Diceros bicornis minor: one gene and its partner. The protein of the gene in region 2 interacts with the protein of the main gene of each other region in a biochemical or structural test. Links are inferred from orthologs where the notes say so. Each region holds a gene or a part of one and is shown on either strand. Other genes may lie near its edges.

Evidence for each region.
Region 1: the proteins of FZD7 (region 2) and DVL1 form a complex in vitro, tested with the Homo sapiens proteins (2 studies listed by BioGRID and IntAct, with this or other methods). The link is inferred for Diceros bicornis minor from reciprocal best matches to the Homo sapiens genes FZD7 and DVL1.

What each region holds. Positions count from the first base shown.
Region 1 is NC_080752.1:22,307,775-22,322,584, forward strand, and holds the start of DVL1 (segment polarity protein dishevelled homolog DVL-1), read right to left. Parts: upstream 7,481-14,810; 5' UTR 7,394-7,480; coding exon 7,224-7,393; intron 1,677-7,223; coding exon 1,607-1,676; intron 1,435-1,606; coding exon 1,313-1,434; intron 1,038-1,312; coding exon 934-1,037; intron 687-933; coding exon 548-686; intron 1-547. Other genes in the region: MXRA8 (matrix remodeling-associated protein 8), read right to left, coding at 11,313-11,338, 11,566-11,646, 11,749-11,825, 11,909-11,948, 12,143-12,301, 12,555-13,025, 13,158-13,259, 13,362-13,667 and 2 more. UniProt on the Homo sapiens protein: Participates in Wnt signaling by binding to the cytoplasmic C-terminus of frizzled family members and transducing the Wnt signal to down-stream effectors. Plays a role both in canonical and non-canonical Wnt signaling.
Region 2 is NC_080749.1:79,841,795-79,857,238, forward strand, and holds FZD7 (frizzled-7), read left to right. Parts: upstream 1-8,293; 5' UTR 8,294-8,966; coding exon 8,967-10,691; 3' UTR 10,692-12,154; downstream 12,155-15,444. UniProt on the Homo sapiens protein: Receptor for Wnt proteins.

The DNA of each region.
Region 1 (14,810 bases), on a different chromosome or scaffold from region 2:
CAGGAGGTGGCAGGGTCTGGCCAGGCCGAAACCAGGAGACACAGGGCCTGGGTGAGGTTTGCTCAGAAGGCTCAGCTCCTGGTTGGACACACCGCCACCGTGCACACATGACACACACAAACCCCACACCTACGTGGATCGCTATGCCCTGGCAAACATGGAGATACGAACACCAAGTAAGCCAGCACGGCCACCTGCACATGCACACTCTCGTGTGCACAAAGTGCACTTGGCCAGACACACGCGCACACACATGCACACACATGGACACACGTCTACGTGCACACACCTGTGCATGCACATGTGGGCACCCACCTATGCATGCACACCCATGCGCCCACATGCCCACACCTGTGCACACACAGACCCGTGCACACATCTATACGTGCACACACCCATACACACACACACCCCATGCTCACACAAACGTACACACATGCACACACACACCTGTGACACCCACACATGCACATACACACGTGCTCGTGTGCACGCACACACATGCACACTCCTATACACACACACACACACACACACGCCTGCACACCGGCTTGTGTTGTCGTCCTCGTCCGAGTCAATGAAGCTGCTGGACTCGAGTTCGCTGCTCAGCATGGTAGATGTGCTGTCAGGGGGCAGCCCCAGGTCCCGCCGCCGGTCCCCCCTCGGGTGCCCATTGGTCCGAGCAGCTGTGGGGACAGCAGGGAGGGGAGCTGGCCGTGGGATCCCCTGGAGGTCACGGCAGCCTGTGTGGCCTCGAGCATTGTTGACCTGGGAGCTGGCAGGGTCACTATGGGGGTGCTGAGGGGACACTGGGGTCCCAGGCAGTTGGTCCTGGGACCTCTACCCAGGACCCCACTGGTGGGGGGCAGTAACCAGGGGTCGGCAGGGACCTGGGGTGCGCCATGGGGGCCCAGGGAGGTCTGGGGTTGTTACCCTCCTCGCGGTTCCGGCGTCGGAGTCGCTCCCGCCGGTGGCTGACCATGGACTCTGTGCTGGTCTCGTTGTCCATCCCGTCACGGCTGCTGGCCACATTTGGGCTGTGCCAAAGAGCGGGGTGGGCTGGGGCAGGCGGGCCACCAACGCCTCAGATGCCATTGGCTCCTCGCCTCCCCTCACCTGGTGGGACCCTGAATCTGGCAGGGGCCCTTGCCCAGCCAGCCACCAGGTCTGGGCCTCTCTGCCTGCCCCTCCTCTGCTGACCAGCTCCTACTGACCGTGGGTCCCTGCTCAGCTGCCCCTCCTCCCCACCACAGGCCTGGCAGGCAGCAGGCCCCTTGGGACTACCAGGCTCAGCGCCCCCCAGGGTCCTTACTGGAAGGAGGGGGGCCGGGAGTCCCCGATGCCGCCTGTCCGCTCAAGAGGTGGGGGCAGGTCTGCGTGACCGTCAGTGCCCTGAGACCCTGCGTCTGAGTGTGCGCCCTCGGCCAGCACCAGCTGTGAAGGAGAATGAGGGCTCAGGGAGGCCCCGCCCAGCAGGGTGCCCAGGCACAGGTGACCAGCCTCTTCCCACCCCACACCCGCTCGCCCACGCCCAGCTCCCATCTTGCAACACAGGGGCCACCCCCACTCTGGCTGAGCACCCTCTGCCAACGTCCCACAGACTCACCCAGGAGACCACGCGGCCATTGAAGCAGGGCAGCTTGGCGTTATCATCAGAAATCTCCTCCTTCACCACCCTGTGGGCAGACACGGCCATGAGACCACCCGAACCGGGGCCAGCTACCACCAGTGGGCTCTGGAGGTAAGACTCCCCACCCTTGCCCAGGGCACGTGTCACATGCCCAGACATCAGTCTGTGTGGATGCCCCTGCCCAGCACATTCTCTTCCTGGGGACCCTTCCCAGGAGCCAGGTCCAAGGGGGTCCAGACCCCTGACCCTCCGCCACTGGGGGGGTCACTGCCTGTAGCATTCTATAACATCTACTTGTCTGTGTGCCCCACGGAGTGTGGGTCTGTGAGGGCGGGGCTCTGTCTGGCTCACTCTCTGCATCCCCCTGGGCCCAAAACAGGGCCTTGTCCACAGCAGGCCTCAGCACAGATGTGAGGGCGGTCAGACCCCCACAGACACAGGTAGGTCAAGACGGCACGGCATGCAGACCCACACACACACACACACACACACACACACACACACACACACACACTCCGATGGCAGGCCACCACCGTCCAGGGCCGTCTGCTCAGCCAGGGAGACAAGCAGATCCCCACTTGCAGCACCAGCCCAACTCAAGACCTGGAAGGGCACAAAGCCAGCTGGGCCTACTGAGAAGTCTTAGCCCCCCAAGTTCAGCGAGCTCCATGGGCCATACCCACTGCCCAGAAACCAGTCCCCTGGCCTGTGTCTTCATGCTGCCCCCAGTCAGGTGGGCTTGGGCGGTAGGGAAGGCAGGACACAGAGAGCCAAGGCAATGATGAGCCTGAGATGGGGGGTCTAGGTGTCAGGCTCAAAGAGGTGAGGAGAGCAGCAGCCAGCATGGCTCACAGGGGAGAGGCAGTGGGGCAGGGCAGGCAGTGGCTGTGGCCCAGACACACCCCACACCCTGGCCTCCTGGAGGCCCAGGGAGCAGGGCGGGCACTGCAGCAGGAGCAGCCCCGACAGCCCGCCTCCTGGAGCTCAGCCCTGCCTAGCACAGCGTGATTTCCACGCCCAGGCCTTGGGCCCAGTGGAGAAACGGGAGCCGACAGACCAGGCAAGAAGCAGCCTCATGGCCTGCTGGGCCCGGATGCCTTGATTCGGCCAGTCCCGGGCAGCAGCACATGGCAGGAGGCCCTCCACAGAGCTAGCACCCCACACTCCCACCCAGAGAGCAAGGCCCCGGTCCACGCCATCCACCAGGAGGGGACCCCAGACCTGGGGGCAGAGTGGAGAGAGAAGACAGGGCCAGCCTGGGAGGGAGGGGGCACCCAGCCCGGGTCCTGTGACGGCCCCCCAGACACCTCCCAGGGCCAGCCATACACGCACCAATGAGGTGGACGCTCCCAAAGGGCAGAAAGGGTCATTTCTCAGGACCCCCCTCTTTCCAGCGAGGAGCAGACCCATGTCTGCTGCCCCTATTCATGCACCACAGCCCTGCAGAGCTGAGCTTCCAGGGGAGGCTATGACTTGGCCCAGGACTTGGGTAAGGAGGCCACATGAGAGGTTGTCACCACAGGAAGACCTGGGGTGGTCCAGAGACACCTGGGGCTCTGCCAGCTGCAGCCAAGAGACAGGGCTGCAGCAAGCCCTCCCAGGGGCCCAGCAGACTGAGAGCACCATCTCTGAGTGGCTGCAGCAACAGAGACCAGGGAAGGACCTGGTGGTTCCCACCTCACAGCCCAGGTAGCCTGGCCAACAGCCTCCTCCGCCACACCCAAGCCCCAGCCCTTTCTGACTCACCCATGGGGAGGCAGAAGAGCACCCGCGGCCCCACACTGCAGGGCCCACCTGGCTCTCCCAAAGGCAGATGCCCCAGGCAAGGGGGCCTGGGAGCACCCAGAGCCCCCACTACCCACCCAGCCAGGGCCTCGATGACCCACCACCCAGGGCTGCCCAAGGCCTCTGTATCCCTCACCCTGCATGGACGTCCCTCCTTGGGCTCAGAGGCCCTGCTTCCCTGGCCCTCCCCAGCTTGAGGAACCCAAGTTCTCCAACCTGCACGACAGAGCAGCCTGCCTTCCACCTGGGGGTCGGGGCACCGGGGAGCACCACAGGCCCCAGCGCAGCCTGGCCAGGACAGCAGGGAGGGAAGGGGCAGGTGCCAAAGCTCCCAGGACAAAGGGCATGGGTGCTCTCCTCGAGGTGTGGTGCTGTCCACCGGCGGTCAGCACAATCTCCCAGGAGCCCCAGGGTAGGGACAAAGTCGGGGTGGGGGAGAAGCCTCTGCCAAGCATGGAAACGCCTCCAAACAACCCTAGGGGCCCCCTCCTGGGTCAGGCCTCGCTGGGTGGGAGATCAGACCTCAGGAGCAGTTTCCACCGGCCTTGGGGGCACCCCCGTTGGCATCGTGCCCCCAACCTCAGAATTCCTAGCAAGATCCGGGTTAACCTCGAACTTGTGGCTGCCCAGCTCCGCCCGCCGCCCCCGCGGACTCGCCCAGACGAGGAATCTGCTCAGAGCAGGGCCCTTAGAGCGAGCACAGCCACGGGCCAAGGAGGACCCGCCACAGCATGCCACAGGCCAGCCCTTCCCAGTGCAATGGCTCCAACTATGTCCCCAGAGGCACAGGATCCCCCCACCCGTTCTCTCGCCATGGAGCAGGAAGTTGGCAGAGTGAGCTGGCGCACGACAGGGGAGGAAGAGCTGTCCCCGAGCCCTCAGAGCCCCCTGCGTGCCCCCACAAGTCAGGGGTCCTCAGCTCCCACTGAGCCTTCACCCGTCACCTCACTGCCTCCTGACCCCAGAGCTGGCCACTCCTCGCCCAGCGCGTCCATAGGCGGTACTGAGCCCCCCCCACCCCCCTAGGCTCAGGCTCCGCAGACTCCAGGGTGAGGGGGGTCCCCGTCCTCCAGGTTGTGCCACAAGCTCCAGGGCGTGGCCTGTCTGGACTCTCCCAACACGGCAGGGGCACTGGCCCCAGATGGCACCTGCGGAGGGCAGAGCGGGAGCTCACCCAGGCAGTTGAGGCCAGGCCAAGTGCCCACCCCTGCCCCGCAGCCCCCACACCACGCCACCCAGGGCCCACAGGCAGGTGGCCCCAGAGACCGGAGCTCCTGGCCCAGAGATGGGCAGCCTGGGGCCACCACCAGGCAGACAAGCTTAGCGCCAAGTCCAGCCAGGCCTGGAAGCAACGAGGTGGTCCTGGCAGTGAGGAGACTGCAGGCCAAACCCCCTCAACCTCTGCCTCACAGCCCAGAGGCCGGGCCAGGCCCTCCCACACTGCTCCCACCAAACCACCACAGGCCCAGAGACCTCCCCTGCTTTGCTGGGTCAGAACAGCCGTGACCCATATGGGGAAAAGTGGGAGGTGAAGGTAGGAACCCCTACATTCAGCCAAAGACGCCTGTGGGCCACAGCCACACCTCAGACTCCCCCTTCTGTTACTCTGGCGCCAGCTGTGGCCAGAAACAGAGGCTCGGGGAACTCAGGGCCCAGCCCACAGTGGGATGGGGGGTTGGGGCAGGAGGCCCCCAAGCTGAGGCCACCCCTCTCATGGGGGAGACCACTGCCTCCGCCCTGCCAGGACCTGCTCTCCCTTCCCCCAACTTCCAGCTACATCCCTCAGTAGCCAGGGTGAGCCTCAAGCTCACGTTCACACTAACGTTGAGTGACTGATCAGCCCCTTCGAGAAGGAATTTATTCCACTGAATAAATGATTCTATACAATAAATAGAGCTTGGATCTCTCCACATAGGTCTCAGGGGAGGGAGAAATGAGACAGCTGGGTCCTCTCCCAGGACCCTGAGGCCACCAGGCCACCAGCCCAGAGGTCCAGGGAGGAAGTAAGGTGAGCCTCCCTGTTCTGTCTGCCCACTGCACCTTCCAGCGTCACCTCAATCCATCCCCCTTTCCCGGCCCAGCCTCAGCCTCTGAAGCTGCCCTCTGCCCAGTCCTGTTCCCTCCCCCATCTCAGCCATTCCCAAGCCTGCCCAGACAACCTAAGGAACTCCTACTCCTGCTTCAACACCCAGATTTGCCTGCCCACTCACCTCCTAGGCCAAGGCACGCATGGATCCTACAAATCCCCCAAAAAGCCCGGCTTCTGCTGGGAGTGCACGTGGGGTGGGGGTTTCTGCAGCTCATGGGCAGCCCGCAGTGGCCATCAGACACAGGAGCGGGTGGCAGGCCCCTCAGGACGCACCCACAGCATGGTTGGAGGGCAGCAACCTGTGGGGCCAGGCAGATGCCTTGCCACATATGCCCTGCTGGCTTGAGTTTGTGACAGAGAGCATGTGTGACTTTGGTAATTTTTGTTAATATAATAAACTAAGTTAAAAACAAAAACACCCTTTCACATACCCGATGCTCACAGCCAAAGCAGCGTGAAGACAGAGGAGTTGAGACTGAGACCACCCAGCGAGGGCAGGCGACGCGGCCAGACCAGACTACAATACCCACCCGAGAAGCCTGGCCCCATGGCGGCTCCTAAGCTGAGCCAGCAGGAAGGCCAGCCAGGCAGGGCTGGGGACATCCAGCCTTCTGAGGCTGCCAAGGACACATCCTCCTCTCTATGCCTCTCCCTGGTGGTGGTGGGGCCCAAGAGACTCTCAGGTCCCCCTGAGAGCTGCAGAATGGCCCTAGCTTGACCTGACCTGGGGCTGCCCAGGGCCCGTGCAAACTACAGAATCCAGGAAACGCCTCAATGTCAAAGTCCCAAGACGCAGCCACACACAAGGACGCGGCTGCCTGAGGGTGGCCAGACACACCTGCTTGGCCCACAAGGCCTCTGGGTATCCCCCCCCAGCATTGCTGAGCCAGGGACTCAGGTTACCTGAGGCTGTGCCGGGTCAGGCCTCGAGCAGACAGCCAGCCTCCTGCTCACCGTCCCACAGGTCCAGCCCAGTGCAAGTGGGAAGTCCCCTCAGCCGAGATGGCCACCACTAAGGCTGGACACGGGGACACTGAACCAGAGGCTGCCCTGAGCCAGCAGATGGACTGGGCTGTTCCCAAGAATTCCAGTGCTGTGAGGCTCAGCAGGGACACAGGCCCAACGGCCAGCAACCCCAGGGCAAGGGTGGGTGGAATGATGTCTCACAGTCCCCAGTGACCCTTGACCTCTGCCCTGTCCTCAGCACTCTGGTGGAGGGGACCAGGGATAGGCCATCTTGAGCCTCTGGAAACCTCTGCAGACCCCAGCAGACAGATTTCCCCCAGGCTTCCTAGGGGACCCTGCCCCCACCCTTTCCCCTGGACACCCCGACACTCCTCTGACCGCAGGCCCCCTTAATCACAAGCCCTCCAGGCCAGCCTTGAGCACCTGCTTGCCACAGAAGGAGGGCAGCGGGACCCTGAGTCTGACAGGTGCCACGGTGGGACTTCGGGGTCGCCCTGGCCTGGGCAACAGACCTTGACCCACAGCTCACATACACTCAGGCACACAAGACTGGGCCCAGGGTGGGTGGAGAAGCCAGGACGCTACCCTGCCCACCGTCCAGAGCTCTCAGGCTCCTGGGCAGGCAGCTCAGGGCACAGACAGGTGGGAAACACACCACACCGGGGCGCGGAGGCACCCAGGATCCCCAGGGCCCTGCCCGGGCGCAGACAGGTGCCGACCCATGCCCGCGCACAGGCCCCACGGCCCACTGACCCGAAGTCCTGGTCCATGGACTTGAAGAAGAATTTGTAGGCGTGCACGGGCCGGTTGCTGAGCACGTTCTTGAAGTCGGCCAGCGTGACGCGCTCGGGCGCCACGGGCAGCTTGACCAGGTACGGCGTCTCCTCCTCGTCCATGTGGTAGATGATCTTGGTCTCCGCCATGGCGCGGTGCTCAGGCCCGGCCCGGGGCTCGGACGCGGGCGCCTCCCCGCCGCCGGCCTGCGCCCCGCCCGCCAGCCGCTCCTGGCCCGGCCGCGACCAGGCCCCCGGCGCCCCCGCCCGGCCGCCCCGGCCCTGTCCGCCCCGCCGCCCCGGCTCCGCTGGCGCCCCGGCTGCTGCCCCGCGGCCCGCGGCCGCCCATCCGCTCCGGCCGGGGACGCAGACAGGGAGGGCGCGCGAGGCCGGGCCGCGTCCGTGCGCCCCGCCGCCGCCGCCGCCGCCGCCGCCCCCTCGGGCCGCGCAGTTAAAGGGACCGCCTGGCCCCGGGCTGAGCGCGCGGCCCGCCGGGGGGCGCCCGAGAGCGCGGCGGGGCCTGACGTCACCGGGCCCCCGCGGCGCGCGGCGGGCGGGGCTGCGCACGCGCGGGCGGGCGGGGGCGGGGCGCGCCCGCGCGCGCCCCCCGACCCACTCTCGGGACCCCGCGCTCGGCCTCCCGCCCCCCGCCGGGACCCCTCCGGCCGGGCCGCAGGGGCGCGCACAAGACGCGCTGGGCCTGGGCTCTCAGCCGGTGGGCGGACAGGGGCGCGACCCCGGGGCAAGAGGTGCGTGGGGACCCTCAGGAAGCTTCGCCCTCCACCTGCACGTCGCGCCCCCAACTGTCAGAAGGGAGACCCCGCCCCAGGCCACGCCACGCGCCCGCTGGGAGCCCTGTGGATCGGCTGCAGCCCCCAGGAGAGTCGCTCGGCCAGGTTCCAGTCCTCCGCCCCCTCGCGAGGGCTCGTAGGTCCGTGGGTGCTCACAGTCCGGAGGCGCCCTGGTCACTTCAGCGGGCTGCGGGGGTCCCCGCGGGAAGCTGAGGATACTCGGTCGCTTTGCGCCCCCGCGCTAGCTCCAAGCTCGCGCGCCCTCTGCCGGGTGCCACTGAGGCTCCGAGAAACTCCGAGCCAAGTGAAGGCAAGTGCTCGCGTGGACGCGGGAGTGCAAGTGTGAGCACGTGTGTGTGAAGCTCCAGACGACAGCGAGGGTCAGCGCGAGCAGCTGTGCGCACACACGTGTGCACAGAGGTGCCCAGGCACGGTGCTTCTGGCAGCAGGTGAAGGGATTCCGGCCGCTGTCCACTGAACCAGCCTAGAGTCTTCCGCGGGGCAAGGGAGACTCGGAGCAGCGCCCCTCGGGCTGTGAAGGGTCCAGTCACATGCTGCTCCCGCTGTGGGGAGCGGCTCTCTCTCCCTCCACCCCTGGAGGAACACTCAAGGCCACTAGAGAGAGTCCCACGCTGGCGAGAGTGAAGAGAGGAGAGACCCTAGGATGGGGCGTTAGAGTGATGGGAGTGGGCAGTATCTGACGCCCCTGTGACCTGAACCCAGGACCCTCCTTGAAGCTGGTTGGAGCCTAGGACTCTGCCATCTGCTTGGTCCTGACCATCCGTGGGCAGTGGGCCAACACAGGAAAAGACCCCATCAGTCCATTAGTGACTGGAGGAGCCAGAGCTTGGACCTAAGTCCCTAAGCCCAGGCTGGGGACCACCCCCAGGTCAACCCAGGCCAGGGGTCCTGACCTCCATACCCCTAGGCTCGGATGGGGAGGGCAGGCAGGGCTCTGTGAGGTTGGCACCCACTCAGCAAAGCCTGGGCCTTCTCCCCTTGGGTCTCGCTTTCCCCAGAGGTAAGCTGAGGAGCCAGGCAGGATGGCCTTAGAGGAAGAATCCGTGGCTCTCCACTGGGTGTCCAGGGAAGGAGGAAGACAGTCCCTGCCCTGAGAACCCACCAGGGGACCAGCATCCCCTACACCAGACACAAATGGCTGACGGTCACACAGATGCAGGGGGTCCGACGTCCCAGCTGCACTCCAGCCTCTCCCCCAGCCTCCCTCTCCAACCTGACCCTCAGCCCAAGTCGTAGGAGAGAGACCAGTAAACCAAAGACCAGAGAACAGTCAAGTGCTGATGCTGATGTAGTCCGGCTGGGGCCCTGCAAGGAGGGCTGAGTGGCAGGCCAGCGCCTGAGCCCTTACAGGAGGGGCCTCATCCAGTGGCAGTGCAGCCACTGTTGGGCCAGGGGTCACTGGGCTGGGAAGGAGGCACACTCTCAAGCAAGCCACAGCTCCCCGGCCCAGTCTCCCTCCCTGCCTTTGCCACTGTGGGGTCCGTGTGGGTGTGTGATGAGAAAACAGCCATTGTGAGTCACTGCCTCAGCATTTCACAGTATGACAACCTGCTCACACCGAGTCTGGAAATTAAGATAAGGACCTGAGCTTAGGATTCCCACCACAAGTTCCCCTCCGCTTTTCCACTCAGAGTTGAGCCTGCAAAAAATTAGTGACCTTCGCCCCCAACACCTTCTACATAACAGGTGCCATCCTGCTCTGTCTCATGTTGGTTCATGACCTGGGACGGAGGCGTCCCTGGCTTGTTGCACCCCGTTTCTGGGATCTGTAAGTAATAAACCTTGTGACGACCTCCTGTGTGTGGCTGTATTGCAGCTGCACCTTCAGTCAAAATGAGTCCAGGGTCTCCACCTCCCCAGAGGGGGAGCTCAGATGCTGAGGGCGTGCGGGGGGCTTGTGCCTCCTCACTCAGCCATCATAACCTGCGTATTCTTTCCTGTCCCTGCTGTCCTGGGAGGGCTCCAAAGGATGGGGTCAGGGCTGGGGAGACACACAGGTTTCTTCCTACCGCAGCACCCTCTCCCTTCACCAGTGTCATGCCCACTCCGTCTGAAGGCTTCCTGCCTCTCCCGCCTCCTCCCCCTTCATCCTGCTGGCTAACCATCTCAGCGTCTGTTTCTCAGAGGACTGAACTAACATAACACAGTGCCCCTCTCTGTCCTCATATCCACCAACATGCTCCCTCTCCCATATCCAAATAAACCCTCAGGAGTCTGAAACTGCTTCACAACCAAGTGCTGTAGAATTGGCTCCAATGTCCCCTTTCCCAGGATACCTGGACCCAGAACTTCCACTCAAAAGGAATGGGCGATGACAGGAGGACTTCAGATGAAGGAAAGCACTTGGGAGTTCCTGAGGCCCAGACTCTGCCCCCAGGAGATGCAGGGGGTGCTGCAGAGGCATACATGGGCCAGGTCTAAAAATCAAATGTGGTCTTTATTGCAATGGCGGCAGTTTCCCAGGAGGAGCAAACGTAGGGTGTCGGGAGTGGCAGCACAGGCCACTCTAGAACCCTCTTCACCCCCGCCCCTGTCTTTAGCCAAAACAGAAGCCAAATGAGGCCTCAGAGCCAGACTCCAGCCCAGCGAGGGGCCGTGGGAGGGGGGTCAGGGTCTAAAGTCACATGGAGCCCAGTGACTGTCAAGGCAGCTGGTCGGAAACAAGGCTGGAGCAGAGGGAAGCAGAGAAGGGACCCATGGCAGCCCCAGGTGGCCTGATGCAGCGCACAGGGGCATCAGTGGGGCCTGGAGTGCGCAGTCCTCAGGTCCCCACGGCAGCCTGGCTGGGTAGCGCACGGGGAGCCAGCAGGCAGCTCCCCCAAGGAAGGGGTGGGAGTGCCAACCCTGAGGCTGACCACAGCTCCGAGTCCCAGCTGAGCCCCCTCCAAGACAGAGGCCAGGAGAGCCTGAGGGCTTGGTGAACATCAGAGGGGTCTTGCTGTGCAGTGTGGGGGGTACACCAGGACACCAGCGAGCATGGGAGCCAGTGGGCACATGCCCAGGGCTGCTGAAGGGGCGCAGCCACAGCCTGCAGAGTCCCAAGGAGCCCACTGCTGCTCGTGAGGGTTAGGGTGCTCCTGGGAGAGGGGTCTGGAGGCAGCCTCACTCTGCACCAGTCCAGGCCAAGTTCCAGGACAGCGGGACCAGCCGCTGGAAGGGGGGCCGGGTGAGCTGCATGAGGATCAGGAGGACGTCCTCCAAGACAGACAGACAGGAGATGGCAGAGCTGCTGGCCCAGCCAGGAGCCCAGGATCACCTTATTTGCAGTACTCCTTCCTGAACTCTGGAAGCCAAGGGAACAGGTGGGCGTCTGCCCTCTGCTCCTCCGCCACAGGAGGAAATGCAGGGAGACATCCAGCAGGACTGCCCAGGGACTTCTGGAGCCCTGAGGTGACAGGGGACTGCTGCCTGTGGGGCTGGCTGGTGCCTTCGGGATTCTGCGAGTGGGTGGGGTGGGGTATGGGCCTGGCTGTGAGATGGGCAGAGGAGGTCTCCCTCCCAGCCACTTACCTTTGTCCAAGTCCACGTACTTGGCGGGCACAGGGCCGTGGGCCAGCCCAGCCCTCTCCTTCAGGATGTTGTTTTTGTAATCTAGGTAGGGAGAGGCAGGGTGAGGGGCCTCCCTGAGATGTGCCTCCCCCAGCTCAGGCCTGGGAGCCACAGTCTCTGCCTTGGTGTCCAGGGCCCCCTCACCTAGTTGGATGTCCTCACTCCTGTAAAGAACCTGGTCTCCTGTGGCCACAGCAAACTCCACCATGTTCACGTCCTTCCTGGATGGGGGAGGGTGGTGGCAGGTTAGCGTGGCCAGTGGGGCGGGGCCTGGTCTCCAGGAGATCCGGGAGGGGTCACTCACCCCTTTGACTTCCCCGACTTCTTGACCGAGTATTCGTAGCCTGGGGAGGGAGACTCGTGTTGGGGACAGTGTTGCCCCCTCCCCAGCTCCCCCAGCCGCGAGGAACCCTCCCAGCGCCCGCACCAAGCTCCCCCTCTGCTCAGGCCACCGCACGAAAAGTCCCGCCTCTAGTCGGGACAGGCTTCCCGGTTCCGGCTTCCCCTGGCTCCCCCCGCGCCCCGAGCCCCGGCTCACCTCCGCGGCGGCGCTGACGGGTGGCCAAGATGACAGTGATCAGCAGCAAGATGAAGAGCAGCAGAGTGGCCAGCACATAGCCCAGCTGCTGGAAGAAGTGGGCCCGGCCCTCGGGGACGATGACGTTGATGACGCTGCGGCCGCGCGCCAGCGTGGGATCTGCAGGGGCCGGGCGGGGGCGAAGTCAGGGTGCGCGCTGCAGACCGACCGCGCGGTGGGTGCGCCCCGACCCAGGCCGCCCCGGCTGCGCTGCGTGGGTCTCGGGAAGGGACAGGCGGCCGCAGTCCATGGGGCCTTCCCTTGGCTAACACCCAGGTCCCTTATTCTGGACAGGAGTGGGAGGGGCCTGGGTGTCTCCTGCCGTTCTCAGCCTCCAAGACGTTCCCCGGGCGCCCAGGGCGGCCTCCTGCACCTGGCCTGGGGGCGCCGCTGTGGCTGGAGCCGTTGCCCGGCGAGTCCCGCGGGGGCGGCTCTGCGGCGGGCTCGGTCACCCTCAGGTGGAAGACGCGGCGCTCGTGCAGGCCACAGTAGTGGTGGTGCAGGTGGCAGGAGTACGTGCCCTCGTCGGCCGGCTCCAGCGGGTCGATGCGCAGCGAGAAGTCGCCGCGCGCAAAGGCGTCCGACGCCACCGCCACGCGGTCGCGCAGGAAGGGCGGCCCGTAGGCGCGGCGCTCTCCCGACGCGTACAGGTCGAGCAGGCGGTCTGCGCGGTCGTGCGGCACCCCAGGCGGCTGCCGGTCCCAGTGCACCACCTGCTGCGCCTCCTCCAGGTGCCGGTCGGTCCACACGTGCGCGCGGTTCACGCACGTCAGCAGCGCGGGCGCGCCGCGCTCCGCCACCAGCACCTCCTTCTCGCCGTCCCAGTGCGCGCCAGCGGCCCGGGCTGGGGGCGCAAGGCGGTCAGGGATCCCGGACCAAGGAGGGGAGAGGAGAGGGAGGGGCCGGGAGGGGGCGTCCAGGGGGACAGGGGTGCGTGAGGACCGGGTCGGGGGCCTGCGGGGGCGGGCACACTCACGGTTGTCGGTGACCTCGAGGCGGACGGCCAGGCTTTCGTAGAGGTGGCAGTAGTGGTGGTGCAGGTTACAGGTGTACAGGCCCTCGTCTGTCTCCTCCACCGCTACGCACCCAGGAGAAAACCCAGCCGTGAGCTCCGCCGCGGCCCGAGCCCCGCGCGCCCCGGATCCCCCAAGGCGCCCCCTGCGGCTCCGAGGCCCCGTACCGCGGATGAGCAGCGAGAAGTTGCCGTCGTGGAAGGCGGAGGGTGGCAGCAGGAGGCGGTCGCGGTCGCGCGTCTCGTACACGCGCTGCTCGCCCGCCGAGTACATGTCCACGAGTCGGCGCGGCGAGCCGCCGGCCGGGCCGTCGCTGAGGTCCCAGTGGATCACGCGCTGGCGGTCGTGCAGCCGGTCCTGGGTCCACACCATGCGCGGGCTCTGGCAGCGCAGCATGGCCCGGGCGCCGGCCGCCCAGCTCACGGCTGACTCGGACACTACGGAGCTGCCGGCCGTCTGGGGCCCAGACAGCCCTGGTGGGGAGGGGGAGTCCGTTGAGGGAGGGGTGGGACCCAAGGGAACAGGTACTGGGTGGGGCTGGCGAGAAGGGAGGGAACTGTCGCGGTTTCAGGGGCAGGGTGGTCACTAACCTGAGGACAGAAGGACAGCAAAGCCTGGAAGGTGAGGAAGAGCGAGTCATACTGGGGAGGGGACGACCTGAGCCTTTGCATCTGGGCACCCCACTTGGCTGCCTGGGTCTCTTCTATAGCCCTGGCTGAGGTGGATGCTCATGACACCTGCTTACAGGTGGGTAAAGGCAGAGAAGCCAGGAGGACACAGATGGGGGTCTCCTTTGGCCCCACAGGGGTGGGCACTGTGCCCATGGCCCCCATTTAATCCTCACGGCCACCTGCCTGTGCTGCATGGACAGCGCCTGCCCTGTGGGGGTGAGTGGTGGGGCCAGGGTTAGACCCGGCACAGGCCGGCTCTGGAGTGTGTGCTTGTCACCAAGGGCCACCCTCACCTTCACTGCAGCAAGACCACCAAAGCACCAAAGCCTGACGCGCTGACGCCCGTTCTGGGGGCCCCTGCACATGCATATCCTGGATAGCACGTGCACCTGCCGACGGCCACACCACACAAGCCCTGGAGGGTCCTCAGACCGCTGGGAGCCCTGTCCCACACTCAGTGCTCGGTGCTGGGGCCCCCTCGGCCTTCCTGAAGGGCAGAGGTCTGAAGTATGAGGAGGTGGAGAGTGACCCCACCATCCGCCACCCCACAAGCCAAGTTTCTGCTCCAGAAATGTGGCTGAGCGCCCGGGATGGGAGGAATGCGCAGGATCAGCAGGCCAGCCCTGAGGGCGGGCTCAGGGGGCCTGGGAGCTGAGGGAGGCTGGAACAGACCCTGCAAGCCCCATGGTTCCCAGGCCTCCCTCAATCCCACAACCCACTCCCCTCCTGACAACTAGGAGAAGCGCAGGCCTGAAGGGCCTCCCTGAGAAGCGAGGTGCGTGAGGGACCCCCGTGGGAGGCACCCGCCACCTCGGCCTCCCTGCCCTCTGAGCCCTCTGGCCCCGGGTCTGTGCGAGGGAAGTTCTGGGGGGACAGAGATTTAAGTGAGACCTCACACCCTCCTGGGTCTTGGGGGGCCCTTATCGTGGTGAGCCGCTCCCTCTG
Region 2 (15,444 bases):
GCACAAGCCAACCTGAGGCCCTCACTCAGCCAGTCACTCGGACCTCTTCACTCTGGAGCTCACACACGCCACTTCCAGCGTGAGGGGAGCAGGAAGCAAAGAGAAATAAAGTTGAGCCATTATATGCAAAGCTCTTGGATAAAGCACAGGCCTAGAAACCCAAAACTGTGGATTCTAGTTCTTTCTGTGAACCCTTGGACAATTCACTCCACCATCTCGGGCTTTGGTTTTCTCATCTGTAAAACGAAGGGGAAGAATTACTGAACTCTGGTGTCCTTTCTGAAAAATAAATCCCCAAACTATTCTCCAACTCAGCGCTCCTTTTCAAATCACAAGACAGGCTGGCTCCTAGCTCAGGGCCAAACTCCCATTATAATTCTGAGACAAACTCAAGGTCATCACAGAAAACCAGATTCGTTTGTTCATCAAGACACTGAGTTCCATGATGGCAAGGACGCGTTATATCCTCTGCACTTCGCACAGTGCCTGGCACATGGTAACCTCTAAATACAACTTTTTTAAATGAATGAAGGCCATGTGGTTTTATTTCACCATTTTCAACTGAAGATGTATCTTATTCACTCGTGCATTCATTCAGTCACTTATTGCACACCCGCCAGGCGCCTGGCGCTGCGTCCCGCTGCAGTGTGACTACCCAGGATTTGAGCAACTTTCTGTGATGACTTAACAACAAAGTAACCGGTGACAGAGGAGGAGAATTAAAGCAAGGAGAGATTTCTCAACACATTAATGAGCAAGTTAGCTAAGAAATACAGGGCTTCTCTGTTCCCGTACCAGAGACTTGTGATAGCCAGCTTCACACTCTCAAAGCCAAAATTAACACCATACAACGGGAGGCCCCAAATAAATTCAGATAAGACCTAAGCCAGGGAGGGACTCCGATTTACTAATGAAAAGGAGATCTCAAAGCCCTCTCTAGTCTCCACGCAGCTCCCTCCGCCCTCTCTTAACCACCTCTTTGACCCGCCACCTCCCTTTGGGGACCCCACCAGGTTGCCTGGGCCCAGCCACTCCTTGGCTCCTCCCTCAGGTAAAGCCAATCTCAAATTAAATCACAAAGAGAGGCAGCCAGTCTGCAATGATCTGTGTTTATTTAGTAAATGGGTTGATTGCCCTCATTTGTGGAGATGAAGAGTTAATTTCCCAATGCAAAGAGAGCAGATTTCTTGGAGGGCAGCCCCAGATAATTAAGAGGAAAAAACAAAATTCAAATACCTCCCACTCCGCCCCTTCCCACCTAGTTTTGGCCTTTCAGTGGCCTCTCTGCCAAGGTAGCCACAGGCCCAGCTTCAGTGAGGTTCTGACCCAGGGGAGGCAAGATTTGGTAAACAAAGGCTTAGGAATTCTTTAGGCCCTTTAAACTGACTTCTGGCAAATTCGAGATCGCAGAACAGTTTCTCTCTTCCCCCTCTTCTCGCTTTGAAAGGCAAATATTTTGAGGTTTGTGTTCTCTCCCATTCACAGAGTTTTTAATCAAGTGGAGTCAAACCACTTGGTCCACACCTTTATTGAAGAGCCTAGCTCTAGAGTGTCAAGCACTATTTTACAATAAGAGGGAGGAGGGAGGGAGAGGGAGCTGGAAAGGGGACTCAGCGGAAATGTGAAAGAGAAGAAAAGCGGTGGGCAAGTGGCCCTTAAGCACACACTCAGGGCATCGCGTGTGCCTTCTCTGCACACGACGGGCACGGACGGCGAGCTGCCGAGCCCCAGCTGTGCCAGTCATCAGGAAGTGGGGAGAGACTGGCTCGCTCTGTGGGTAACTTCCACAGAATGCACGAAAAAGCCCCTACTGAGGGAAGTCCCCGCCCAGGGGAACAACCCCCAAACAGACCCCGAGGCTCTCAGAGCTGGGCCAGGCCACAAAGCCCAGTTCCCTGGCTTTACAGATGAAGAACCAGGCCCAGAGAGGTTAACCGACTTGTCTGAGGCCAAGGGGTCAGTGGCTGGACCAAGACCCCAAGAATTCTTCTCATTTCCCTGGCGGTAACTGAAGCCTTGCCTGTGTTTGATCCTCAGGAAAGAGAAAATGCACCATATCCATCTCAAAACAAACTTTCATATACTTGGGAAGACAGTTAAAGGACTTCATATATTTTTCCAAGTGAAACAACAAAATATTTTCATCTTGTCATCTCATCAGCTATTTTTTACCCTGGCTGCATAGTAGCTGCACTGGGGGAGCTTTTAAGCAGATTCTCCAGGGGTGGGGCCCAGGAAGTAGTTTTTTTAAAGTAGATTTTTTTCAAAAAATTAAATCTCTTCCACCACCTCCACCCTCTCTGAGAATCACCTTTTTAACTTATTTGGGTTATTCCTCCTACTGGTTCCTTCATGCCACCTAATTTACTTCACGCATCCTAAGTTTACATGCAAGGTAAAAACAGTGGCAGTGCATTGCTGACCCGTCTAGCCTGTGGTCTATCATGATTCCCAGGTCTTTTGTTCCCAGCCAGTCTTTCGCCATCCTGTATTTCTGCAATTTATAGTTTTTTATTTTCACTGAACTTCACCTGACTGATAAATTGTACAATTTGATTCAACATATCAAACACCTACCTGTGAAAGGCAAAGGAGAAAAGTAAGACACAATTCCTACACTCAGGGGCCTTCCAGATGAACAGGTGGGTAAGCGAAGCACTAAAACACAGGAGCAAGTACCAGGACATCCCAGGAGCCGCGGAGCCTGCAAAGACAGCTGTGAAGAAGCTGACCTTGGATGAGCACCTACTCTGTGCAGGCACCATGAGCTCAATCAGGATTATGCTTGGCTCAGAGGCAAGAGAAAACCTGTCACGCTGCCTTAGACAGACAGGTTTATTTCGATCTCCTATGTGAGAAACCCAGGAGGAGCGCATCCCAGGCTGGTGTGGTGCGCCACAGCGTGAGGGACCCAGGCTGGTGTGGTGCGCCACAGCGTGAGGGACCCAGGCTGGTGTGGTGCGCCACAGCGTGAGGGACCCAGGCTCCTCCTAACTTCTTCTCCTCTCCCAAGGTCATCGCACCGTCCACAAGGGCCTCTGAACCAGCCATCAGGGGGAGGAAGGACGGTACACCTGCTCCCTTTAAGTTGCACACGACACTACTGCCGACATTCCACGGGCCAGAACTTAGCGGATGGACGTAAGGGAGGATTTTATATGGAGTCTTTATTCCAAGTGGCCATAAGTCCAGCTAAAGGCTGGGGACTCCATTACCATGGAAGAAGGGAGGAACAGATACTGGGGTACAACTAGCAGCTTCCACACCACGCTAAGGACTTCATATGCTTTACAGCATTTATTTTCCACAACTCAGGAGAAGAGGTCTTCTGGGTCTTTATTGCAACACTTTTGCAATTGTTCAGTCACTCGATTGAGTCAACTCAATGTCAACTGCAGTCCTAGGAGGTATCTTTTCAAATTCTTATCCAAGCCATTGAGCAAGACGAAGGTGGCTGCAAGACTGAGCCTCTTCAGTCAACCCCAAATGGATGCCTCTCCTGGGCTGGTGCTGATCCTCGGAGGTCAGCCTGCTACAGCTGTGGGCCTGTCCCTGGAGACAGGCAGAAGAGACCTGTGTTTTCACCCTTCTTCCAGGCCTGGCACTCTGGTTAGCGAGGTTCTCTCTAGTTGTGAGGAACACACAGGCAGTCAGGTGGCTTCATTAATGGGCAAGGTAGGATTCCAAGGGAAGGAGCTAGGAAATGCTCTTGTGTTCTGTCTTCTTGTCATCTCCTTTTGAACCAGGTTTTTCTCCTCTCCTTCCCGCTTCCCTCCCACCCTCCCTTCCTTCCTCCTTTGGCTCCACTCTGAAAGGATCTGCTCTCCTCTCTCCATCTACAGCTCCTGCTGCCACCATCTGATTGCTCTCTCTGCTCACCTCACTGCCTCATGGCTCTTGCTTCCTCCAAGCTTCTACTGCTTCCTGGTCTCTGCCTGTTCCCTTCTCACTGAATGTCTCTCTGTGTCTGCCAGTATATTTTACACTCAGGCTCCCCGAGTGAAAGGACTGATTGGGTGGCCACCCAACATCCAGTGGGTACACCTGTTGGACAGAGGTCTCACGCCAGACAACCTCATGGCTGGGTCAGATGCTTGCCTATTCCTGCTCAATAGTCTGAAGTGAGGGGTCACGTGGCACAAGGTACAAAGATGGCAACATTAGTCTGAGGAAATGCTGTGAATGAACTGTGGGAGCAGCAGTTACATTTTAGAGTAGCCACTGTGAACTTGTTGAGACCCATAAATAAGGGCCCAAACCCAGAATCACACCCTGCAGCCAGACATGTATCCAACCACCTCTCTCCCTCTCTCTCTTACACACACACACACACACACGCACCCCTCATACGCCTCATCCTCCCTTATGGTTCTCATTATTCCATCCTTCAGTTCAAAATGTAATCAAGTAGAGTGAGGACTTGATGCAAAACCCTATGAACAGCAGCAGAGTATTGTCTGATAGAGCGCTGGAAAGTGAGAGGACGGCACAAGAAAAGACCTGGCCAGGTTCCACTCTGCTATACACATGGGCGCTAGGAGTCAGAATCCACCCAAAAGCACGAACAACAAAAGACATTCTATAAGGCATCAGTGACACAGTATAATGCTTTGGATTACAAGTCTGGGTCAACAGTTCTCAAACCTGACAAATTCAAAAGAATCACCCAGTGAGGTTTCAAAAATTAAGTCCCCAAGTCCAACACCAGACATTCTGACTCAACACGTCTAAGGTGGGGCCCAGGCTCCTAAAATTTTTTTTTTTACTCCTCAGGTGATTCTGATGACCAACCAGATTTAGGATCCACTGCTGTAGCTCCCATCCTCACTCTTCTAGAAGGTTCCCTGGGGGCTTTCATTACCCCTGTGTGTCCTGTTCCTGCAGCTTCTCCTCCTAGGTCTCTGCTGACTGCCAGACACAATAGATAACTAATACAACCCTCCTCGACCAACAAGGATAATGGTCAAAGAGATTCAGTGACTGAATCTATCATACAAATCACCTCTGTAGGGTGGGGCCTGGCTTACCTAACAGGATTTCAGCATGGCCCTCCTCTCTTTCAATCTAGACATCTCTAACTTTCATAACACTTGAAAGTCCGCTTTAGGGATAAGAATGTTCCCATTTTTGGAATGATCCAACTCCCCAAACTAAAACGAAGTCAATGGCAACCAGGCAACTGGAAATTCCAAGTCCTCAACGTTATAAAGTCACAAACTGTCTCGTAAGAGAGGCCAGAAAGGGAAGTATATGCTCAAACTGCTCTTTCTGGTCCTGCATGAGTGATTCTTGCAGCTGGAGTTTCACTGCAACCACAGGATTGTGGCACCACGAAGCAGGCCATTTTCAAATCTGGCCTGACATCAGAATGTAATTCGACTAGATAAACCTGGGACTTGGCCAAAATAAGTAGCATTTAAATAACTGGTGCCAATGAATAGCATCACTTTTCTGCGGTACCATATGACTATGATGTGAAGAAACAAAAGCCTTTGTTATTTTAAAGGGCAGAGACAATTGGAAGATTTGCAGCAGACAGTTACAAAATTTTCCACCCTTGGCTCTCCAAAGAAGATACCAGTTAGTGGCTTTGGGAGTCGGGTGTGGAAGACGTTGCTTGGAAAAGAAAATTAGATTGATCCTGGACAGAATGTGAACCAATGTTACTACATTTATCATACAGCCTAAAACAGACTATTTACCCCCTACATTGTGAACTTACTTTTCTGATCTACTCCCTTTTATTACTTACCTCCTTGAAATCACAGCATTCTATATCAGGCCAGGCATGGAAAGCTACTGCACCCCTCTCACAAACAGCACATTCTTATTTTTCAGAATAATTTTGGAGTGGGCTTTTTAAAAATCATCTTAAAAAACAAAACACAAAAAATTGGCCTTTGCTTCTCTGCATTTTGCACTTGTCTGCCTGGGACAGAGCAAGAGGACTCCCATCTGTGATACTTGCCATCTGGGATGCATTTTCTGCATCTTATACGTAGATTGTTTCAAAAATATTTCATTCGTCCCTTGTATTTTTTAAGGGCTCTCTTTTTTTCTTCCTAAATAGTTATCCCTATTACCTAACGTCAGGGAGCTGTCTGGGGCTATAAGAGGAGTAGAAGCTCATCAACTGAACTGGTTTTCGTTGTATTTGAGACACAGCATTTTATCCTGTTGGTTTTCTTTTCTTTTCTTTTTTTTTTGATGACAGTGCTTGCTATTTCTCTCTCAATAAGCAAAGATGACTTAGATCAGTGGCCTGATGAATAAGCATGAAAATTTGATTTAGAAAAGGAGGATATCCTGAAGCTCATGGAGAGAAGAAAAGATTTCCAACCCCCCACCACACACACTTTAAATGACAAAGCAAAGCAGCAGCATTGTCATTAAGCAACGTCTTTCAAAGCAATATCAATGCTCTCTGGTGTTAGGCAAGAGGAATAATAACTTAGAAAAAGAGGAGCCCTTAAAAAAATACTAGGAAAGAATGAAACATTTCTAAAGCAAATATCACTGATCCTTCTAAGAAGAAGATTACCTTAAGGGCAGATACCCCAAAAGAAAAGAAAAAAAAATACGGTTCCAGGTGTGAGGAGGAAACTGATGCTTTGGAGGAAACAGACGAGGATTCCCGTTGAGGTCCGGATGGAGAATGCGAGCAGTCTGACACCCTACGTTGGCCCAAATGACTCAGCCCTCCAGACCCATTAACAGCAGTGGGAAAAGACAAAGAACCGTGAAGAGGAAGGAAAGATTCCCAGTAAACTTGAGTAATAGAAAACAAATAAGAGAAAAACAGAGGAAGCCAAAGTCTCCTATGGAAGGGAACCCAATTAATTGTCTTAGATTTCAGAATCGGTTTTTTCTTGCTGGACAAGAAGCTCACAGGGCAGCAGAGGCAGCAACTTCTGCAAACACGCAACCTGATCAGAAATCCCTCAGGGCTCCAGCGCCGGAAGGGCTCGGCCCGGAGTAACGTTTCTTAAAGCACAGAATTGCCGTGTGTGTGTGTGTGTGTGTGTGTGTGTGTGTGTGTGTGTGGTGTGTGTGTGTGTGTGAGAGAGAGAGAGAGAGACATTTTTCCTTTCTCCACGTGTCCCTCTCCTGCGCGGGGCTCCAGGGAGGGGCGCGTCCCCGGTAACTGCTGACCTCGCCCGGAGGGACCCGAGCGCCCTGCGCAGGACGAAGATGGGACCGGGAACAAAGAACGCTCGCCAACCAGGAAACGCTCCCCGAGAACAAGGATAACCTCTTTGTGTTTTGAAAACTCTTTAATTAGCAAATGCCCTGGTGTGTAATACGCATTAAAACTTTCCTACGCAGATTCCAAATAGAGGATCCCATCACCGCTTCCGCAGCGACCACATGCCGAGCGGCCACCCGCAGAGGCAGGGCGCACACGGCCGTCGACGACGCGCCTCACACCGCACCGCGTCCTGGGCACGGGGTCTGCGGTCACTTGACGAGCTTTCCCCAACCCGGTCTCAGCGTTCCCGCAGCCCCACTCAAGCCTCCCCAGGCCCCGAGGCCCCGGGCGGCTCGCCTGGGCCGGGGGTCCCCCGTGCCCTCCGGGGTCTGCGCCTCCTCCGCCGGCTCCGCCGCTGCCCCTCCACCACCGGGGGCGGGGGGTGGCCTCACGGGGGCGGGTGGGGTCTGGGGAGAGAACAGCGACCCGCGAGGCGCACGCCCTCCGGCCCGGCACCGAGCCCACATTCCGGGCCCGCCGCGCCCGGCGTTCTCAGGCCGGCGGGGCCCACGTGCCTCGGGGTCCCGTGCCCCGCGGCCGCGACGCCGCGCGCTCCCCGGCTCCTCCGCGCAGGAGCCCCCCGCGGGGCGCCCTCCCGGCAGGAACGTGTAGCTCTCGTCCCGGAAGACGAACACGTCTTTCGGGCAAATTCGCTTTCCGGCGCGTTGGCCCCCGGCTCCCCACCCCAGAGCGAATTCAGGGTAAAAGTTGTTCTCAACTTTCCCTCCCAGCCCCCCCTCAGGAATCCGCCCAGAGCGCTGCCGACACCGCCTCCCGGCCCCCCGCCGCCCCTTCCGACGCCCGCCCAATCGGGAGGCGGCCGCGCGGAAAACAAAGGCCGCCATTGGACCGCCGCGGAGCCGAGGGCCCGCCCCGGGGCGGCTGTGAATGGGGGAGGGCGGGGGGCGGGGCGGCCGGCGCGTCCGCGCCCGGCGCTTCTTCTGGCGAGCCGCGCGGCTCCGAGGCGTTACTCTGCGCTCCCTCCGGCCGGCGGCGGCGCCGGCACCCACGGGCCGGGGCTGCGCGGGGCTGAGGCCAGGCCCAGGCCGCGGGCACCGGGGCCTCGCAGCTTTGGACGCGGTGTAACTGGATTTCCAGAAAGCGCTCGCCGAGCTCTGGGCTCCCAGGCGCCGATCGGACTCCGAGCGAGAATCAGCCGCTTGGCTGAAACTTGGGGCCGAGCTCTCGGGGCTGAAGAAGGAGCGCGAGTGGCGAAGGAGGCGGCGGCGGCGCGCGGAGCCTCGAGGCGAGGAGGCGGAGCAGCCCCGCCGAGGCGGCGTCCTCGGCTCCAGGCGGCGGCGCGGGCTCTCGCTGCCGGGGGCGGACTCGGCGCGGGGGGCGCGCGTGAGTGCGCGCTGCGGCTCGGGAGACTCGCGAAAACTTTGAAGGGTAACCGGAGACGCTTGTTGCTCCTCGCCGCGGAAAGAGCCGCACCGTTACGTCGCGGCGGAAGACGGCGGCCCCTCGGCGCCCCCGGCCCAGGCAGACGAGGTCGGGCCCCGGCGGCCGCGCGAGTGCTGGGCGGAGAGGCCGCGGCGCCCCCGCGGCGCGAGCGCCCCAGCTGCAGCGCCCCCGGCTCCGCGCCGCCCACGGCCCGGCCCCGGCGCCGGGGAGACTCTCATGTGCCGGGCGCGCCGGCGCCTCCCCGGATCCAAGCCTCTCCCCGCTGCCTCGTCGCGCTCCTCGGGCTGAGAGCGTCGCTGCACCGCGGCCGGCGATGCGGGGCCCCGGCGCGGCCGCGTCGCGCCTGCCCCTGGGCCTGTGCACCCTGGTGCTCGTGCTGCTGGGCGCGCTGCCCGCGGGCGCCGGGGCGCAGCCGTACCACGGCGAGAAGGGCATCTCGGTGCCGGACCACGGCTTCTGCCAGCCCATCTCCATCCCACTGTGCACGGACATCGCCTACAACCAGACCATCCTGCCCAACCTGCTGGGCCACACGAACCAAGAGGACGCGGGCCTCGAGGTTCACCAGTTCTACCCGCTGGTGAAGGTGCAGTGTTCGCCAGAGCTGCGCTTCTTCCTGTGCTCCATGTACGCGCCCGTGTGCACCGTGCTCGATAAGGCCATCCCGCCATGCCGCTCTCTGTGCGAGCGGGCCCGCCAGGGCTGCGAGGCGCTCATGAATAAGTTCGGCTTCCAGTGGCCCGAGCGGCTGCGCTGCGAGAACTTCCCGGTGCACGGCGCCGGCGAGATCTGCGTGGGCCAGAACACGTCCGATGGCTCCGGGGGCCCGGGCGGCGGCCCCACCGCCTACCCCACCGCGCCCTACCTGCCCGACCTGCCCTTCACCGCGCTGCCCCCGGGGGCCGCCGACGGCAGGGGCCGCTCCGCCTTCCCCTTCTCGTGCCCCCGCCAGCTCAAGGTGCCACCGTACCTGGGCTACCGCTTCCTGGGCGAGCGCGACTGCGGCGCCCCGTGTGAGCCGGGCCGCGCCAACGGCCTCATGTACTTCAAGGAGGAGGAGAGGCGCTTCGCCCGCCTCTGGGTGGGCGTGTGGTCGGTGCTGTGTTGCGCCTCGACGCTCTTCACGGTGCTCACCTACCTAGTGGACATGCGGCGCTTCAGCTACCCCGAGCGGCCCATCATCTTTCTGTCGGGCTGCTACTTCATGGTGGCCGTGGCGCACGTGGCCGGCTTCCTGCTGGAGGACCGCGCCGTGTGCGTGGAGCGCTTCTCGGACGACGGCTACCGCACGGTGGCGCAGGGCACCAAGAAGGAGGGCTGCACCATCCTCTTCATGGTGCTCTACTTCTTCGGCATGGCCAGCTCCATCTGGTGGGTCATCCTGTCTCTCACCTGGTTTCTGGCGGCCGGCATGAAGTGGGGCCACGAAGCCATCGAGGCCAACTCGCAGTACTTCCACCTGGCCGCGTGGGCGGTGCCCGCCGTCAAGACCATCACCATCCTGGCCATGGGCCAGGTGGACGGAGACCTGCTCAGCGGGGTGTGCTACGTGGGCCTGTCCAGCGTGGACGCGCTGCGGGGCTTCGTGCTGGCGCCTCTGTTCGTCTACCTCTTCATCGGCACGTCCTTCCTGCTGGCCGGCTTCGTGTCGCTCTTCCGCATCCGCACCATCATGAAGCACGACGGCACCAAGACAGAGAAACTGGAGAAGCTCATGGTGCGCATCGGCGTCTTCAGCGTGCTCTACACCGTGCCGGCCACCATCGTGCTGGCCTGCTACTTCTACGAGCAGGCCTTCCGCGAACACTGGGAGCGCACCTGGCTCCTGCAGACGTGCAAGAGCTACGCGGTGCCCTGCCCGCCCGGCCACTTCCCGCCCATGAGCCCCGACTTCACCGTCTTCATGATCAAGTACTTGATGACCATGATCGTGGGCATCACCACCGGCTTCTGGATCTGGTCCGGCAAGACCCTGCAGTCGTGGCGCCGCTTCTACCACAGACTCAGCCACAGCAGCAAGGGGGAGACTGCGGTATGAGCCCCGGCCCCTCCCCCACCCCGACCTCCCCAGCCCTGGCGCGGGGCGAGGCGCGCCCGGGAAAACGGCGGGTGGGGGGCTCGTTTCTGTAACCTGCTCCCCCTCCAATGAGAAGTGACCTGGAAGATAGGGGGTCTGTGTCGACTGCGGGCGAGGGGTGGGTTTGCAAAGGAGGCCTGGGTGGAGAGACGCTTTGGGTGAAGAGACTTCTGGCAAAAAGACTTGCAGGATAATGATGATGATAATGGTAACGATGGTGTGAATCATGTACGGTACGGGCCGACCTGGGCCTCTCGAGAAGCTTGAGACCAGCAGACATTGCCGTGCGTTCTCCCGGCTCCGGGGCTGACCCGGGACTGCGAGGATTCCCCTGCTGCACGGCGAGTGGCCGGTCCGCACTCCCGTGAGGCCGGGGTGAAAGGTACAGCGCTGTCTCGTGGCCTCTTTGTCCGGAAGAGGGAGGACTCCCCGCGGCGGCCTTGTCAAGCGGTGGTCAAACCATAATCTCTTTTCACTGGGGCCAAACTGGAGCCCAGATGGGTTAATTTCCAGGGTCAGACATTGCAGTCTCCCCTCCCCGGCCCCTCCCGCCTGTTTTTCCTTCCGTTACTCCTTTCAAGTCTTGTAAAATAAGCATTTGGAAGTCTTGGGAGGCCTCCCTCCTAGAATCCTAATGTGAGGAGGCGGAAGAAATGAAGATAACATTTCCAGGTAAGGCAAAGGGAATGAGTAGTAGGTATGTCTGCTATTTTTTTATTTTCTGGGGAGGGCGGGAGGAAGAAAGAAGGGTGTTTTATTTGGTTTAATACCCTGAAAAGAAGTGACTTGTTGCTTTTCAAAACAGGAATGCATTTTTCCCCTTGTCTTTGTTGTAAGAGACAAAAGAGGAAACAAAAGTGTCTCCCTGTGGAAAGCAGAACTGTGAAGACAGCAACTTTTATAGACTAAGTGGCGCAAATCTGAGGTTTCCCTTTGGATGTTAATTTGGTTGAGAGAAACATTCCTTTTTAAGGAAGCGTGAAGGGCACTGTGCTTCCATACACCCCTTTCGGTCAGAGGTTCCGACTTGGCTAAAGGAAATGCAAGGGGTTTTGTTGTGTTTGTTTTAAATAAATTTAATTCAGAACACATGAACGCAGAACACAGGCTCTGTTAAAACGTCCAGGGAAATTTTGCTCTTTATTTTTTTTTCTTTCTATAAACCTGTATTTAGGTTTTCCCTCAATTTTTTTCCTCAAATTTGAATCCTTCAAGATAAAAGGAAAAGCATAATGCCTTCAACCTCATAATAAAGAAAAGTTAAATTTTTTAAAAAGTAAAGAACTATTTTGTCCTGTTTTAGTTCCATAAATCAGTTTATGAAACATCACGTGTATGCTGACCCTGTCTTTGTGTGGCTGTGTGGGGAGGTGACCTGCAGAAATGATAGTGAATGAAGAGGACAGTTTAAACCATGGGCCCCATTTTTTTTTTTTTTTGTGAGGAGATCAGCCCTGAGCTAACATCCGCCAATCCTCCTCTTTTTGGAAGACGGCCCTGGGCTAACATCGGTGCGCATCTTCCTCCTCTTTTTTTGCTGAGGAAGACGGCCCTGGGCTAACATCGGTGCCCATCTTCCTCCACTTTATATGGGACGCCGCCACAGCATGGCTTACCAAGCAGTACTTCGGTGCGCGCCCGGGATCCGAACCAGCGAACCCCGGGCCGCCGCAGCGGAGCGCGCGCACCTAACCGCTTGCGCCACCGGGCCGGCCCCACCATGGGCCCCATTTTTAAGGAAAGTCACTAAAAGAAGCTAAACTTCAAAGTAATTCTGGAGTTCTTTGAAATGTGCTGGATGACTTAAGTTTATTAATGTTAAATCATGTACTTTTGTTTCTATAATAGAACTCGGGTTCTTTTGCATAATAGTCTAAAGCTGAGCGGAGAGGCCTGGGAGCTAACCTTAACTCCACCCTTGACACCGCCCTCCAATCTTGCGACACTAGCCCATTTCTCAAAACAGTTTTTAAATGCTGTCTTAAACAGTTCTTAAATCATAGAGGGTACTGTCAGGAGTGCACGTTACTTTATAAATGTAATGTTCAGCTGAGTGGAGCTGCTTTTTAAATTAAACGTTGACCTTGTGTTTCTTAAACCTCCAAAACTGTCTCATTTGTCAGATTTTTAAAACTCCCGCGGCACAGTTTTTGGCATCTTTTGTGTTGTATCTCTTGCATGTGAAATTTGTAAAATAGAGACAAGTGCAGTATGTATATTTTGTAAATCTCCCATTTTTTGTAAGAAAATATATATTGTATTTATACATTTTTACTTTGGATTTTTGTTTTCTTTTGCCTTTAAAAGTCTACAAGGAAGCCCCACTTTATCACATGTACAGATCACAAATAAATTTTTTTTTTTAAATACAACGTGAATGTTTATTTAGTTTACGGTCCTTATATGTCATTAAGCCGAAGAGCAGAACTTTGTGTTATGGACAGAAGGTATGGAGGGACCCCATTCGAAGGAAGGTGTTATATATTATTGAGGTTGTTTATCCTTGCCTTTTAAAATACAGAGTGTAATGAATGCCTTGACTGTCCATTAATTTGTTTTCTGTTGTTGCTGCTCCCTGCATCCCTGCACAGCACCCCCCCACACACGCCCATAAGCCTTTTCACATCCAGCTTTGGATAACTTATTGAAGGTACAGAATAAGCATCTCTTTTAGAGAGGTGCTCTCTGATCCATGTTTTTACTACCCTTTGGAGATGAAATCCATATTTGAAAGACGACTAGAAGATATTTTTGGTGTGCTTGTGTGGTGATGTTTTCCTTGGGAAGAATTCAGTGAATTTTTATAAGTGATTGGTGTTTTTGAATTCTAATGCCCCTTATCCACATGGTTAATACTTAAATCCTTTGGGTCAGGTGGCTGGGAAAGTCAGTAGATGATTCCAGATAATAGCAGGGGTCTTGCATGTGGAGCCTTCTCAGCTGTGGGCTTCACTCCACCTTCTAGGTCAATTGAGCCAGAGGTCAAGTGATTCCCCGAGGCGGCAGAGGTGGCGGTGACTCAGCAGTTCCGGCAGGAATAGACTCCACGCTGACCCCAGGATGGCCTCAGAAGCCACCAAAGCTATTCTTTCCTCTTGCCGGAGAGGCTCACTTTGGAATCCGATCAGACTGAGAAGCCTTGCTATCCAGGCACTTTGATATCAAAGAGTCCCTCAGGGAAATGATAAAGGCGTTTTAAATACTTCCAATGCCAAGCTTCACTAGCTTTTTTTTTCCACGCGCCTCTCCTTTAATTCAGGTGCTGGCTTCCTGGCTTTTGCTAGCAGAGTCCCCCGTTCTGGGGCAGCCGTGGAGACCCAGCAGCAGACTAGATGCTGTTTCTCCTTCCCTGCTTCGCTCTAAGTTTCTGTACTTCTAAAGATCAACAGAAACAGTCCGGTTTTTGTTTTAATTAACAGGCTCACACTCATGGCTGATGTGTTTTACAAACACCTGGAATGAAAACCAGTGACAGACAGTCCTCCCCAGGAGGAGGGAGCCGCCGCTGCTGTCTGTGCAAAGCAGCTTTAGGGTCCTCCTGGGTTTTGAACATCACGATGGGTGTGAGGTCATCTTAACCTGTGAAGATCTGGGCATCAAGGAAGGGAAAAAAAGCGACTTCAAGTCTCTTAAGGTTTATCCAGTTTTTGCTCATAAAATGACACCTTTTAGGTTAAACCATGCCTCTTTTAACACCACACTAATACTGCCTGTTAAGAATGTTTGCTTTTAGAGTAGGTGGAAGGCTCCCAACGGGGTTTTTCGCTCACAAATTAACTGCTAAAGGCACTTAGACCCTTCTGTGGGAGAGCTGTGTCTGCTCCTATAAATGTGTCCCCTTCCTCTTGTCAGCGCAGCCTTGTCCTTCAGGGCTCTCAAAGGTTGAAGAGCGTTGGTCTTTAGTGAGGGAACAAAAACTGTGTATGAATAAATTACTACCTGCTTTTTTGTAAGCAAAGATAAAAGTTCAGTTTAATCCCTTTCACATTGTGGTGTGTCCTTATGAAGTTGATTCTTACCTAAGCATTTTAGAAGCTCAAGGATTTTTAAGGAGGTGCATCTTAGCAGAAAATATGTGAGAGAAAGTGTTTGTAAAAGGGCATGTGTAGAGTTTTAAGAAAAACATTGGCAGGAGCTTGGTGTTAATCCCTAGATAAGGAGCAGAAACACTTGTGAAAATTTTCTACAGGTTATAAAACAAAATTAGTCTACACAATAACCCCACACAACACCTAATCTTTTTAAGTAGGTATGTGAGAAATCTTGGCAAGAAATAAATGTCCTGTTGACAACATTTTACCATTAAAGAAAAAATAGAATTTTTTAAATGTGCCTCATAGAAAATAGTAATATTAAAATTCTCTGGGCAGAACTATAGAGTTGTAACAGCTGTAGGTTTGAGCCCTGTAATTATACTGGGAAATTCTCTTCTAACTCTCCCATCTTTAATTTCACTGGAAAGGCAGGTGGCTATTTATAGACGGTATATTTTTATATGTGCATATGTGGACGGTGAATAACAGTCTACAGGGCTCCAGGAAACCCTAGAAGGGACCCAAACCATTCCAAAGTGGACTTAATTCATAGATCTGTTCTCTTTTTCTCTTATTGCACCCTCAGTGCCATTAAACTGATTTCATAAAACTTGGTTCTTCAACTCCTACCTTCCAATTTGCAACATTTCTTCTATCTGAATCTGTATTCCTCATTTCAC